2 linked regions of the Styela clava genome follow. The protein of the gene in region 2 interacts with the protein of the main gene of each other region in a pairwise test. Links are inferred from orthologs where the notes say so. Each region holds a gene or a part of one and is shown on either strand. Other genes may lie near its edges.

Evidence for each region. The genes of interacting proteins can lie anywhere in the genome.
Region 1: the proteins of calcium-activated potassium channel subunit alpha-1-like (region 2) and cAMP-dependent protein kinase catalytic subunit beta interact in binary tests that used the Drosophila melanogaster proteins (3 or more experiments, as listed by UniProt). The link is inferred for Styela clava from reciprocal best matches to the Drosophila melanogaster genes slo and Pka-C1.

The regions. Positions count from the first base shown.
Region 1 is NC_135250.1:24,679,504-24,687,590, forward strand, and holds the start of cAMP-dependent protein kinase catalytic subunit beta, read right to left. Parts: upstream 3,038-8,087; 5' UTR 2,695-3,037; coding exon 2,607-2,694; intron 1-2,606. UniProt on the Drosophila melanogaster protein: Serine/threonine-protein kinase involved in memory formation. Promotes long-term memory by phosphorylating meng and by regulating CrebB protein stability and activity.
Region 2 is NC_135260.1:20,441,626-20,448,858, forward strand, and holds the start of calcium-activated potassium channel subunit alpha-1-like, read left to right. Parts: upstream 1-4,112; 5' UTR 4,113-4,411; coding exon 4,412-4,486; intron 4,487-6,149; coding exon 6,150-6,310; intron 6,311-6,395; coding exon 6,396-6,564; intron 6,565-7,060; coding exon 7,061-7,122; intron 7,123-7,233. UniProt on the Drosophila melanogaster protein: Potassium channel activated by both membrane depolarization or increase in cytosolic Ca(2+) that mediates export of K(+). Its activation dampens the excitatory events that elevate the cytosolic Ca(2+) concentration and/or depolarize the cell membrane.

The DNA.
Region 1 (8,087 bases), on a different chromosome or scaffold from region 2:
CAATCCGGAAAATCCGGGAGTTAGAGTAGATTGAAAATTTAAAAATTTACCCGACCCCACAGTCATGTGTACTATCTTGGGGTCACCGTTTTCAACAAGTGTTCAAAGTCTTTACAGTACACCACCTAAGGTTTTATTCTGTAAACGTAATACGAATTTTTGCTACAGGATTAAAGACAGTACGTGAAAATGCGAAAGGTGAAGACAATCCAACCAATTAATTTAAGCGTTTTTATTCTTTTCACGGTATCCCTGCAACTCGTGTATTCCGATCGACCGACACAAACGCGGACAGAAAAGAGCAGTAGCACGAGCAACTCCAACTAAGAATAAAACGTTTGAAAATAACAGATAAAATACCTGCAGTGACATTTCTAAGTGGCTCAAGAGGCTTTATCAAAATCACCGAAAAAACTTGATACCGAAAATGATATTTTGGATCGAACTACTTGAAGTAGATCAGAATTTCTTAAAGCTTACTACTTGATCAGCTTATTTACTGAAAAAACGCAAAATAAAGTGCAATCCAAATATAATCCACAACAAATTCAGATACGACTTTTTCTGGGACTCGTGATGGCTTTAAAATTCTGATAACATGCTCATTTTTTCAATAGCATAAACAAAAAGCAGTCTTGCCCAGTTTGAATGACAGGTAAAAATATATGAATATTCGCTAAACGTGTTGGCTGCTGGGTGTTAAACGCTTTCGAATATACTTCAGACTATTTGCCGCGCCGAGAAACACCAAACTCGCGGTCAACCACAGCTTGATACAATGTAACGTTACGGATCACGAAAGCTCAGAGAATCACAAGAAAACAGCACATTTCACCAAAATTTCTGAGTAATTGGTAGAGCATATTAAAGTTGAATCACCATCTTTTTAATAAAGCTAAGCCCCGGAATCTCAGTGGTAGACTAAGACTACCATATATCTCAATACTAGAAATTATTCCAACATTCGCCTATTTTAAACTCTTCAATTCTCGAAGTACTGCGCGGAAGTCGTTAATAGACCGTTAGCCAGTGTTACGACTTACGAGCAACTTATACTCAGACTTTTTTATTATTATTATACGCAAATACAAACCACCCCCCCCCCCCCCCCCCAAAAAAAAAAAAAACTCAAAATTCCTCCCAGATTGGGAAAAACAGCCCCAAATGGATAGTATAATATTTTATTTCCAATTTGCATCATAATTTCCAATGGCGAACAAGTCATCGCAGTCGGCTGAGAACTCATCAATAATAAAATGCGGTTTAAATATGACCAGTGATTATCCGAGAATCAATAAACCAATTTTACATGAAAATTCTTGCTGGAGACAAGAATCCGCATTCGAACACATATTCAAAATAACAATAAATCTTGAAAAATGACGCCATCAATATAATTACGTCATACATATTGGCAAACATACAATTATATATATACCAATTAGACCGAAATATTAGTATCAGGCCATAGTATGATTTTGGAACTCTCAAATTTAAACTAGTATAACTCGTTAATGAGAATCGATCAAAACGAAAAAATACCGGTATGCAACAATGTAAACTAGATGTGGACAACTATAGCAGCTAGTCACAATGAAAATGTAGAAATACGGAAAAAAAGCATTAAGTTATTGTAGCAATTTTTAAATATTTGAGACTGGTACCAATTAAATAGTGTATTATTCATTGAATATTCTTCAGTGATCGTTAAGCCGTATGGCTAGAGCCTCTAGACATAATTATAACCTGAGCTTCTGGCATCGTATATGTATGGTATGTATAATTACAAATAGTATTATACACGGCCTTCATTATCTCGTAACAAACAAACTGGACATATTATGTGTAGTTAATTAAAGATACATAAATCCTATAATGAATTGCAAAATTTGTATAATTAGCAATTAGCATTCTGAGGAGATTACTCGATTTGGTGGTTGGATGTTTGGCCATATGTGGCATTATAAGACACAATTATGTACGGGTCATTTATTTATAATGCTTAATCAGATAAAATGTTTTATCCGGATAGATAGAGCATACAATGGAAGAAAGAAATGATCGCAAACTAGACCTGATCCTTGTATTTATGTGTATATAAAATGAAGGTACACCAATGTTCAAAAAGAATTGAATATTTTGATGGCTTCGAAAATAAATATATTCGATATTTTGAATTTTTGATTGTAGTAATATTTTGAAATATTTACATTTGATTATCAAATTTTCATTTGAGCAATGGAGGTCTTACAATATGACCAAAAGAAAATTTTAAGCCACATCGGTACCATTAAGTCACTGTAACTGGCATAATAACGCCGTTTAGAAAGGGATCAACGGAATCAGATCTGAATACTTTTATTTAAAATAAAATTTCATAACCTAACACAAATCTGAAATGAATAATGACAATCACTGAGACATAAAACTATTGTAATACTTGTTTATTTAATGAAGCATAAAAATCAAATTCTCGATTTGCCAAAACTAAAATACGAATAAGAAAAAAAGTCGACGATTATCGGTAATAAAATTGATTGAAATGACAATAATGTATTGTAGATCGTTATATTAATATATCTGAATAGTAATAAATACAAACTTACTGTTATTCAAATGGTCTTCTTTGGAAGTCTTTGGCGACTTATGCGAGGATTCCTTCGACTTCCCGAATTTAAAAGGGAACATACTCATGATGCTGGTTTGTATCGTATAATATCACTTCAAAATATAATCCAGTTTTGTCTTTGTATTGACGGAAAAGATCGTCTCTTTCAGATCAGACAGACAAGCAACTAACACAGTCTAGCTACCTTACTGACTGTACGTCGATAACAACAGCAGTGTGTGGTATGGCCACTTCCGTTTGGTATTCCAGTATATCACACTCACAAAGAGGCGCATAAACAGTATTATTCGCTGGCCAAAATAATTGCGGCCTTTTTTCTACCGGACGTTAGCTAAATGTGGTTGCAATGCATATGTTCGAGTTACGTTACGCCCAAATAGCATTAGACAAGCTGGTACATTGAAAAATAAACAAAAATCGGTCATTTAGGTAAAGCAAATCGATGTCAAATGGGCGCGTTGGGACAGTAAGAATTTCCCTAAAGAGAACAGAAACAATCAACGAATGTAAATCCATCGTTCGTCTTGGTATCAAGATCATCTTATATTTGAACCTTACATGTATCAATAATATTATAACATACAGCGTGACCTAAAAACAGAACCCAGGCCATTTGAAACCTAGAAAGAACATAACTTTTGTGAAAAGCGTTCTATTATATACAAGCACAAGTTAAAGTTGTAAATAAATTTCGTTTTCGTAAATCTGTTTTATTTTGGTCAGTCTGTACTTGATTCGAACCTTTCCTATATTCTAACTTCCTAATAACTGTCAAAAATGCCTACGTCCATTATTTAAAAAAAAATATGGTCTTTTAGTGAAATAATTCTGTCAACATTGCTCACTGCACAAGTACTATAAGTACTCTATTATAGGCTAACTTACTGTTCAGTACTGCAATAATACATATTGTTTACGAGGATCCTAACACGACTATTTCGAGCCAATACGTGTCCAATTACGCTAAATTAAAACTAAAAATACGACTATATAAGTACGGCTGGATGCTATGGTTGGTTTCCCATGTAGAACGATATGTTTGGCAAAGAAGTCTAATTTTACACGAAATGACAATAGAAAGTTATCTACAAATTATCACAATTTAAATAAACTCTCAAACCAGAAAAAAAAATTATATCAATTTATAGAAATGGCTTAAATTGGCTCCCTGCGGAGGTATAAAATAAAAAGTCTAGCGAGTGATTGCTACTATGCTTATTCAAATTAATGCACGTACTAGTAAGCAGTAAACGATATAGGTTATCCAATTTTCGAATCCGTACATTTTTATTCATTGTTGTGATGAAGTTAGTCTGTATAGACATTCGAAGCGTTGACCAACTAAGTCGTCCGCTCTTACGAGTTTTGCATGTATTATAATACAAATAGTCACCTAAAATTCTAAAATATAGACCTAACCATTTTTCTGCGTTACAATATATACGAATACGATTGACAAAAAATTCCGAATATCGAAATCAACACCGACGCAAAAAATTTACAAAAATTCATGTATTGAATTACAAGAACAAAAAAATGGGGCAAAACTAAATTAATTAAAAATACGATCCAAGATGAGCAACACTTTTTGAAACATCACATATTATGATATTTTCAAAATGTTATTTCAATAAGAGGACAAATGACAGCGTCCATATTTATACCAGCCACCAGATAGTAGACAAATATGAGGACAGAAATAGTGTTAGGATCCAGAAAAGGATAATATAGCTAACGAGTCATGCTTGAATAGGCGTTCAGTGGGGGCGTTTCGCCTGATTGCCATAACGTCCACAAAACAGTTCTATATTTAGACGAATTGTTAAAAATTGCATGGGTTATCACGGTACAATACATTACTCAACTCAAGCGTCTGTACAACATCATCCGGCGAAACTGACTGTGTTGCTACGGGGTTCCCAGCTATCTCGAATAGCGAAGTTATAAGTATTGTGCTAAGATGACAATGAATCCGGAGTTGTGGAGTTGACCTCGTCTCCGAGATGAAAAAAACTTGACTCCGGTATCTACAAAATTCGATTGAGCCAGTCCCGAATTCTTTTAGCTCAATACCAAAAGACTGAGACTGCATAAGATTTTTCGATAATGATTCGCTGGAGCCCTCATACGTACTTATATCAGGTTACGTACTGCAATCAGCATAAAATTATACAGATGACTGGTAAACAGATACTGGCACCTGTTTTCTTACCTAGCTAATGCGCAATTAGTATTTCGATGGAGCATCGTGTAGTCAAAATACGTAGCTGTGTATCAGTTTTCTCCTTTTAATTAAACTCGTGAATAAGCGCCGATCTGTTCCTATCGACTGGAAGAATTGATTATTTTTTAGGCTATCGCGGAAGCTTTATCAGTTGGGAGTTGCATTGAAGCGGAATTCCAAATTTATTTATTCCAATCGAGTTTGGCGATTAGATAATAACACATTAAATCAAATAATACGCAATTCGCCAACATAGGCCGGTCGAATACCAACAAAAAAGTTTTTCAAAAAATGTTGAGAACTACCTTTGACGGGACCATACGATGCCAAGAAGAAACACCAACAATTTAAACGTACGATCGATGCAAAAATGCATTTTGTTTTGACTTCTTATTTGAAGAATCCAAGTTCAAGTACGGCGATAATATAACTCAAAAACTCTTGAATTGTTTTATATAAGAACCATGTTTGGATGAAGCCACCATAGATAGGGTAGGAATCCGACGCGTATCGGTCTAAAAGGATTTTATGACGTAGACGGAACTGATAGTGTTAAAAGCTCAGCATTTGTCGAGATCAAAAGGCGAAAGGTCAATTCCAGGGCGTAAAAGAATTCCCAGAAAAACTTAATGTGTTGCTGGTAAAAGTTCGGAGGAATTTGTTAGCATATTTCGGATTCGAAGAAGCTATTCTATAATTTTACACATAAAATAGCATCTAAGACTTTCTCGCTCATTTTTGAGTTACCAAATCCCGAGCAGACTGTTACGGCCCGATATTAGATAATTTCCTGAAATGTTTACCATGGCAAAACTAGTGACGGACAATAACAGGTTAGCATTTTGCATCAATAAATACAACTACAATGTACGTTTCTGGCGAGTATTCAGAAGGTATTATAAATATTGTAATGCCTACTAATTTTATCTTTACTATTTTCCTAACATGCTAGGGACGCATGACATATGAATTGATTTTACATTTGTTGACAGATAAAAGTGATTTGTACTGCTGCTACAGCATCCTTGCATCATATACATACGGAAACACCCCGTAAAAGCTAAGAAGAAGAACAAATTGTCGGTCCAACAGAAATCCATTCAAAGACAAATAACTGACGAAAGTCCTAAATAAGAAAGACGAATTGGAATAGCAAAGAAAACGGGTTCGGATATCGCAAATGTAGTTGTAGCATTTGCAGAGTGTTTTCGAGCTTTCAACACGAGGCTGTAATGTAACACACTGTAAACAAATGTGCTTCCTTTTTTCCGTTATCATAATTTTAGCACAGAAAGTTAGCCCAACAGTTTATAAAATCTGTTACGTGATTAAACTAGCATTCAGTGAAAAGGTATTCAAGTCTTTCATTATTGTTTAAACAACCAAGCGTGATCCACGCAAAAAATTCACTCGGAAATGACAACTCATCCATGACCAAGTTTGACCTATTGTGATCTGAACGCGGAACTAATTAAAAAAATACAATCTACTTCCGTGTTGTTGATTGTTTTTTGAAATTTCATTATAAACTGATTTGGGTATGATCAAAGGAAAAAAATTGGAAGACGTTACAAATTTATACATCATATCCCAAAACGGCTTGATTACCGGTAGGTGTTTTTGATCGAAAATAAATTCCTATCTCGAATAACGATATAGGCTTATTCGTGCTGGCGTACAGCAAGATTTTAAGGGTTAGATGGCAAAGATACGGCACTAGGATTGTACATATTGTGAAACATCGTGGTTCGCGAAATGTCAACCGAAACCGAAAGAAATTCGAAAATACAATTTCGAATTTCTTTCGATTTTGGCGAATCTTTGATAACGTTTCAAAAAATTTCATATACATGTACTACATTGTAATATAATGTAAATCTCAAATATCTTGGCATATAAAATAAATCGATGCGGAATTCAACAGAGCAGAAACTTAAACAAAAGTCTGTAACATATTAATGTCAATCTATGAACACTGCAATAGTTTACACTTAATAGTTTCTTCGTTTTATCAAAACGATGCCAAAATTTGTTGATGTAATGTAGGAATAGGTTTTTCATTATCAGCCCGAGGAAGAGGTAAGTCGATCAACGAAAGTTTAATCATCCTAGTACAGTTACCAGTCCGTGTCGGGTATGGTTAATACTCAATAGTTAAACATATGAAAGCCGTAACCGACCAGCGGTCGAGTGGACCACCCTACGAACCCTACGACCAAGAGGAAGGAGTTCAGTAATCCTCTCGCACGTATAATTCTCACCCACGGGATTCGAATCTGTGAACTTCAACGCTTTACGAACGACATTATATTCATTATCTGATTAAAAATATTTATGTACACGATTTCACTCCGTGCAACGTTCTGCACAAGACGCCACGGCGCTCCGGAAGTAATCGTACCAAGATGACGCACAACCTGAACAACCCTAACCTGGTACACATACTATATTCAGGTTGTGCGCAATCTTGGTACGAATACTTCGGGAGCACCGACGCCACTACATTATTGAGCGGGTCGGAATATTAAAACGTCTAGTTGGCTTTTCTCTCGCCTGGGATGCATATGGTACATATGAACACACTCCTGCCCTATTCTGACAGATACTATTCAACCCTATTCGATAAGACTAATTCCAAAACAATTTAATCAATAGCCTTATTGATTGTATTAAATGCATAAAAGAGTCATACCTTACTATCATGACTGAGAATTAAGATGAAACTATTCCCAGTTGGTTTGAAATCAAGTTATGTTGAAATTTACTACTGTTTACACGTACTATTAAGGTCAAGCGATTAAACGTAACGGCACTTAAATAATTCATAGGCAAGTCAAACATAAAATATACTTAAACTACGGTTGTTTATATGTTAAGTAATGGAATATATATTTGGTCAAGGGTAGAATCGGCGACAGTATTCCCCAGGCAAGCCAACTGTAAATGATCCAAAAACTTGATGTTATATGTTTAAATATATAGCTTTTGGGCCGGGAATTTGGCGTGTTTTCATTGTAGTTGGAGTCGGATTCTCAGAGTCGTAGTCGGATTTCATACTTTCAATGATTACCTAGCGTTCTAACAGTCCATTTAAGTAGGATCGCACAAGCAAAAGTCAAATTTAATTTTCTCGGAGCTGATGACGAAGTCAAATTTTTTTGAAAACCCGGAGTCGGGAGTCGATTGAAAATTCCAATACATAATTTCTACTAAATTTTTTTTCAGGCTGTGTTG
Region 2 (7,233 bases):
ATGAGCCGAACGTGTTCCTTATAGGCATTGGAATACTGAGACAAAGTAAGACATAGAAGGCATGGATATTGTAACGAATTCACGCTAGGGCCCCATATAGAGAGTACCTCTACTGTTTCAGGGTAGAGATTTCGCTGATAAAAATTAGTAACAAATTCTTCCTAAGCTAAATAAAGATGAGTAGCGTGGATTCTTCGCGGACTGGAATGTAGAAGTCTCATGGGTAACGTCAAGGTGAAGAGTCAAAAGTTTAATTATATAGCCGGGGTTATGATAGGTTAACAACCTCCATGTGTACACCACAAGAATACCTGAAAGGTAAATTCATTTTATTTCGCGAAGATATCTATTAATTATCGAAGAGCATTATCAGAGCACTTGTTGTGTTTTTCCCCTTTGATTGAGGAGCACCAACGAAAATCCACAACGTTTTCTTGTAGGACTGAAAATCAATGAAGGAAAAATTCGTTTGGAATGCGTTCTGGTGTATCAATTTCTGTGTCAGAAGGTGTTAATAAAAAAACAGCAATGACAGTTTCAGCGCGCTTGTTTTATGATTTAGTCCAATGACATTGCTAATCTGTACATTTGTTGCCATCTGCTTTAAAAATGTACTTGCAGGCGTCGCTTCATTCATTGTTAATTATCGATGTCAAAATTTCCTGATGTCGGTCGATACAGAGCATTGAGTTATCCAAACCTACTTGACAGCACTATTTGCATATACAGTAGTTTATAGGGAAGGCTGAAATATTGTATCCATCAAAATTATAAGCATGTATGGTCGTGTTCCTAATTCGTTTATTCCTTTCAGTATTCATACTCATAACAGTCGTAATAAACGTTTAACTAGCATTTTTGTTAATCCGTTTTTCCTGGTGTTCAAATTATTACTTACACCTTCTGGTGTATACGTGATCAAATGAAAGAAATACATTCGAACTCGGGATTAACGGTCGCTTTTCTACAGACGACAGATTGTATCCGTGAAATTGTAAATTTAATCGTTTGGAATTAAGTGGGTCTCCTTTCATTTATTTAATGTGATTGCTCGTGTATGGGCCGTGGATATAAATAAAAAAATTCTCATCTTTTTCGCGTTTTTTACATTATAGAAATATTAACGACTATTTCAAGCGATAAATAGGTCTCAATATAGGCTTGAAGACCTCTAAATATTGGGCCCTATATATATATATCGTTCGAAAATTATTAGTTACACTTTAACCGGGTTGATAATATTTGTGTGCTTTGTTATCAAGCCATATTCTATATTTTGACGCTCGCATTCTGTTTGAATTGTAGTTTCGATTGAGTTTCGCTTGGAAAAGGTACATAAAACTGTATAATCAGATACGCTGATATATGCTTGAATATTAGAAATTTCTTTGTCAGAATTCATTATGTATGTTTTGATAGGACGCATTGATATTTGCAATGTATTATATCGGTAATTCCAACTTTTTTTGTTGATAATTGAGGGGCTCCTGAAGTATGCGAACCAAGATGGCGGACATCGGAATGTAATATGTGTACTAGGTTGGGGTTAGGCCATAATTTTAGGTATAAATACTACGGGAGGCTCTTGGCTAGTCTTCGACATGATAATAGGACAAAAATAAGGAAAATTGGAAAAAAATTATCGCCTAACCCTAACCTGTTACCCATGTTACGTTCCGATGTCCGCCATCTTGGTTCGCATACTTCGGGAGCACCGTATAATTAAACTACCCCCAGTTGTTGGAATCATCATACATAGATTAGATCGCATGGAAACATCTTCGTAAGGAATAGGATATTAGGGAATATTAGTGTTTGCACTTATATGCTTTTAAGTAAATTCATATTTATTGATCGTTATCAGTTTTACGAGTATATCACAATAACTCGTTTAAAACAGAATGTCGCTATTTGCTACAATACGCTTAGTACTATGTCTTCTTGTATGAAATGGGGCACAATCTTTTTACGACAGTGAAGTGGAATATCAACATGAAATTTTTTTTTTTTTTACATTTATATATATATCCTGTGTTCAGGTTTATTTGGCGAATTTTTTGTTTGTAACAAAAAAGGCAGCTATCAGTACTAAAAATGAGAAAGAAATTTTTTTTTTGTTTTTAAAAAGGGCATAAACCTCGCGCAATATAAATACAAAATGTTACCGAATTAATATCGAATTTGCATATTTGTAAACACCATGATTCATTTTCTGCAATTTGTATGACTGACGCAAGAAAAACGGTCGCAAACAAAAAACTCAAATTCAATGTCGACCACCGAAAATTAAAAGTATATTTTCTATGCAGTTTTAAATAGTCAGTAAATTTTACTGTGCTATATTATTATATGCAAAAATGTCTCATTATCTTGCTTTATTTTGTTAGCGGCTGTTTTTACATGTTATGTGCCTTTAAAAATCGTACCTGAAAGTTCTTTTCTCGCAGAATTACATACGTAAGTGTATAAGAAATAGTCACAATCACGGTGAAATGTTAGTCACTTTTCTGTATTAGTCTCAACTATGAAGCAAAATATTCAAATTGAGCATCTCTCCGCACTAAAAAAAGTTTCTTAGCTCATTAGTTTAGATTTAAATTTCGAACAAGGAGGAAGTTTGTTACTTGGATTAGTTGTCGACTCAGGTTAGTAGACACTAACACTTGACAGTACCTGCACTAATCAGAAAAGTCAGTTAATTCCACCAAAATCGCATATGATATGTTAACTTGAAATAATACGTAGACCCACTATATGAACCCATCGTGCGACATACGCTTCTAAAAAGAACTTTTCTATTTGACGCATTTACATCAAGATGAATTCATTTGGCTTTATCAGGGCAATTTCCATAGTATATATCACTAAATTAAGTGCTATCGATTTTAAATTACTTACGTTGAAAAGGGAAGTGTTCTAGGCTCTTATCGACTGATTGTACTTCATAGAGAAATCTTGATCGACCTATTTAATTTTTTGCACATTCGTATTTAATGACGCTAAATCTCTGTACCAGAGAGGCGATTTAAGCGGCCGTACATGATTGGATGATAATGTATAAAATTTGGTTCTGGTGTTTATTTTCGGAGGATGATGAGAACCCCTGATGTTTTATTACCTAAGAGACACCCGGCGTTATATCTTTAGATAAATCAGCCATTTTCGATTATTTTTAGTCGAGTCAGTTAACCTTGTTATCAGCGTGACCGCTACGAACATGGCGTCGCCATTTTATCAGCCGAAAGCGTGACGGGATTTGTGTTCCGCGGGGTGATAAGAGAACAGTGTGTTGCTTTGCATGGTTGAAGGGTTTCTCCCGGGTAACGAGCTCAAATCGATTATGCCAGGATTTTTGTTAGGATTTCATACGGCGTTATCGTTAGAGACGCGCTTTCATTTGCAATGTGAGATCAGCGCATTGATTGCTGCCTAAATAATTTATTGCATTTCGAGATGGCTGTATGGGTCGTGGAATATTACGATTATAATTAAACCAAGTGCAGATTGCCACTTCAAGTAAACGGGTCAATATGGAGTAGAACACATGCACCGTTTCTCATTATTATGTCGACACGAATTGATTGGACGTTTTGTTTTAAAGTAAGGTACGGTATGTAGCACGGCATCGGTTATGAAGACACATGGGTTTTTGAAAGAAATATATGCTGTCATCTTTCATTTGAAGTTAGACGTTCGTTAGTTAGCTGTGGTAACTTGAAATGACATAATTTGATTACAGTGAAAGTGCGATTGAATTTGATGCGTTTTGCTGTTTATTTCAAAGTCAGATTCTTTGAATAGTATTATAACATTGCATAGGAAATTTTGCCAATTGAAATTAGTTCAAGGCATTAGTGACTGGAACTGTATACAATAGAGGTATTTAGGTCATTTCAAAACACTCCCCCATTCATCCAATGTGTTATATTGAGAGGCATAGTGATTCAATGGAGCATCATATAAACTCGGCACTTTCAAGAAAGTTTAGAAATTCCCTCAGACTATCTGTCTTATTGTTTATGGAATTCAACGTTTGTTAGATAGAAAACCCTATTATATTCACTATACACTAACCAAAAGTTGCAATCATATCTGGACGAAGAATTTTATTTGTTTGATTTTACCTTTAGAAGTTTTGTGTTTAAATTGATGAATAGAACTACAAATTGAACACAGGATATTTGTTTGACATATTCCATTCAATAAAGAGACCTTTTACGTCAAGAAATGATAAAAATATATGTGGACTACATGTGTTCATTGTGACCACTAGCAGATGGTCAACGTTTTTTTGGAATATTTGCCCAGAGAGATTTAATGTGAGGAAGCAAGTAGATGCATTCATCGCGGAATTAGAAGAACGTAAAACTAAGATCCGACAAAAGGAAACTCAGAACTATATTGAAAAAGAATGACAGATTCTACTCCTGCAGCAGCACCCACATGTAATTGTACACAATCAGACACAGCTGTTGTGGATGTATCCGTGAGTACCATATTTCAGTTTAATTTTATTTTTTGTCATTTTTATAAAAATTTTAAAGTTTTCTATTTAATTCAAGACTAATGTGTTAGGGTACAGCTCGACTCTTGAATCAAACAGAATATTCATGTTTGTTCTTGCGATAGCATACTTGCATTATAAGCATTGTGATCCACTACTTTCTGTTCAGATTTCCACATTCAGGGTATGCAGTATACATAATCTCAATGTTGTAATATCAATTAGACTGACTATTTGTTTGTCAGGGGTTTTGTCCAGCTTTACCTTTCAATCACACAAGTAATTGAATAAGATAGTAAATGTAGTATGAGAATGTGATAATCAATTTCACAACATTATTTTCTTTTTTTTTTGATTCCAATCAATAATTTGATATTGTGTAGTCTAGTTCAAAGAAAAATTACTTGGGAAATTGATGGGATGTCATATAACTTAGATGTAGGCGCATGTAAAATTGCCAGATTCAAGCTTCTCAATATTAGAAAACAAATTGCTTTGTTTCAAATAGTGCCTGAACATTCTAATCTGATAGCAAAAACTTATTTTATCCAAAAAATGTGTTATCTCAATGTATTATATTGGTAATTCCAACTATTTTTGTTGATACTTGATATGGTAACAGTAAGATTATTTCAATTCAGCAAAAAACATTAAAATCTTCAAATTAATAAAGGGCAGTATAATTGAACTACCACGGTTGTTGGAATCATCTTGCATACATTTTCTGGCCCATTTTTGCTCTATTATGAACACTAAATAATGAATCTACTTTTAACTAAATTGAATGCTGCAACAAGGATAGATAAAGCCGCTTTACTAAAAAATAATTTATTATTTATGAGAACAAATTACTTTTGGTTTAATGATGATTGATTATTGCCACTATGTGATCTGTGGAGCTTTTACATGTAATGAAAAAAACACTTTGAAGTTTACTGTAATATCGCACTTATTTCGGAAGTCTTCTGTCATAAACTGTGACTTGGGTCCCGGTGTGGTGCACTACAGAGCAAATGTTTATTCAATATTGAATAATATTAGATACTAAATATTCAGATTTGCTGTCAATTAAAGTATAAACAATATCTAAAAATTTAAACCACTTAATGCGAGAGCAATCACAAAAAGAATTCACTGTGAATCGATAACAACTAAAGAGAATCTACAAAATTTGAATTAGTGCCTTCTTTTGGAAAATAGACATGATACACATGGGAATAAAGTTCATCTTGTGTTTACAAACAAAATTCCTGCCATACTGAGTCATAATGTGTTTCAAACAATATGAATTGATCAGTTCTCAGAGAAAGTTTAATCACAAGAATGGCATATGGCACATACATATGTAAAAGCTTAATATGCAAAGTGCAATATTGATTATTTGTGTTAATTTACATCTCAGTTAAGGCTTTAAGGTTCCAGCTTACCACCTTGTATAGTGAATTTAACTACAACTTGATTTTTCTTCATTGATTTTATGAAAATAGTAGGTTTTGTAGTTTGTCCTCAATTCAAATATTATACTTATTGATATATAGTATACTCGTATGTTTACATAAATCATGCCATAAAATCTTTTTCAAATCATTACAAAATTATGCACGAAGAATGCTTATTTAGAATTTGTTTAAAAATCTTTTTCTAGGTAACAACTGAGTATTTGACAACAAATGCCACACACACACCATGTGAACAAACTCGCATGTGGTATGTTTTCCTCAGTTCATCATTAATCACATTTTTTGGTGGACTTCTCATCATATTAATATGGAGAGTTTTCAATTACATGTGCTGTGCTGCTTACAGGTATATATTTTCTTTTTCATTGTGCATCGAAATATGTTAGAATAATGTCCAAATTTCCTATTGATTTCCTTATTAATCTGTTTAGTCAAATCCCCAAAGATGGAAATTCAAGCAAAGGCACATCAAGCGATAAAGATAATTCTGATGCAGACTCAACAAAATCTGCCGGACCATTAGAAGTGGAATGGATGACTGTTGTAAAAGATTGGGCTGGTGTTATGATATCTGCACAGACTTTAATTGGAAGGATACTGGTAAAATGTTTTATCAAAATTCATTATCTGATTAGTTTATGCCTTGGTTATAATTTGAATAACAATTTTTGTTAGATTCTATGGATATGAAATCGTTTACAACTGTAGGTTATTATAACTACCTAATTTGTGTTTGAAAGATTAATCATGAACGAACATGATAAATGATTCTCCGGTTAAGTCCCATTTCCATCAAATTTTTAAATTTGAGTCTCAAGTCAAGCCGCTGTTCTACCGGGTCTCAAGTTGAGGGCGAGTCATAATAGTTTTTATAAAAAATCATGAAATGGATACATATAAGTGAGATTCCATTGGAAATTAAACCAAAATTCATATAGAAAGCAAATTTTGATTTAATAATGTATTGAAAACATTTGTGTTGGCCTGTTTTGAGCTATTGCTGTAATATTTCTTCTAATATGCAACCTAATTATCTATATCAAATTTCTTTTTTCTTTTTTCCTTTTACTCAATGTTTTTTTTTCTAATTTTTCAGGTCGTCCTCGTTTTTATGCTCAGCATTGGTGCTCTTGTTATATATTTCATTGATTCATCAGAGTAAGTTGGAATGCTTGAAAAGTTTCATAGAACTCAGATCAATTTTTGACATCCAACTCAAACCATATCAACCTCTAATATAAATCAGTTTCTTCTTATCATAAGATTAAG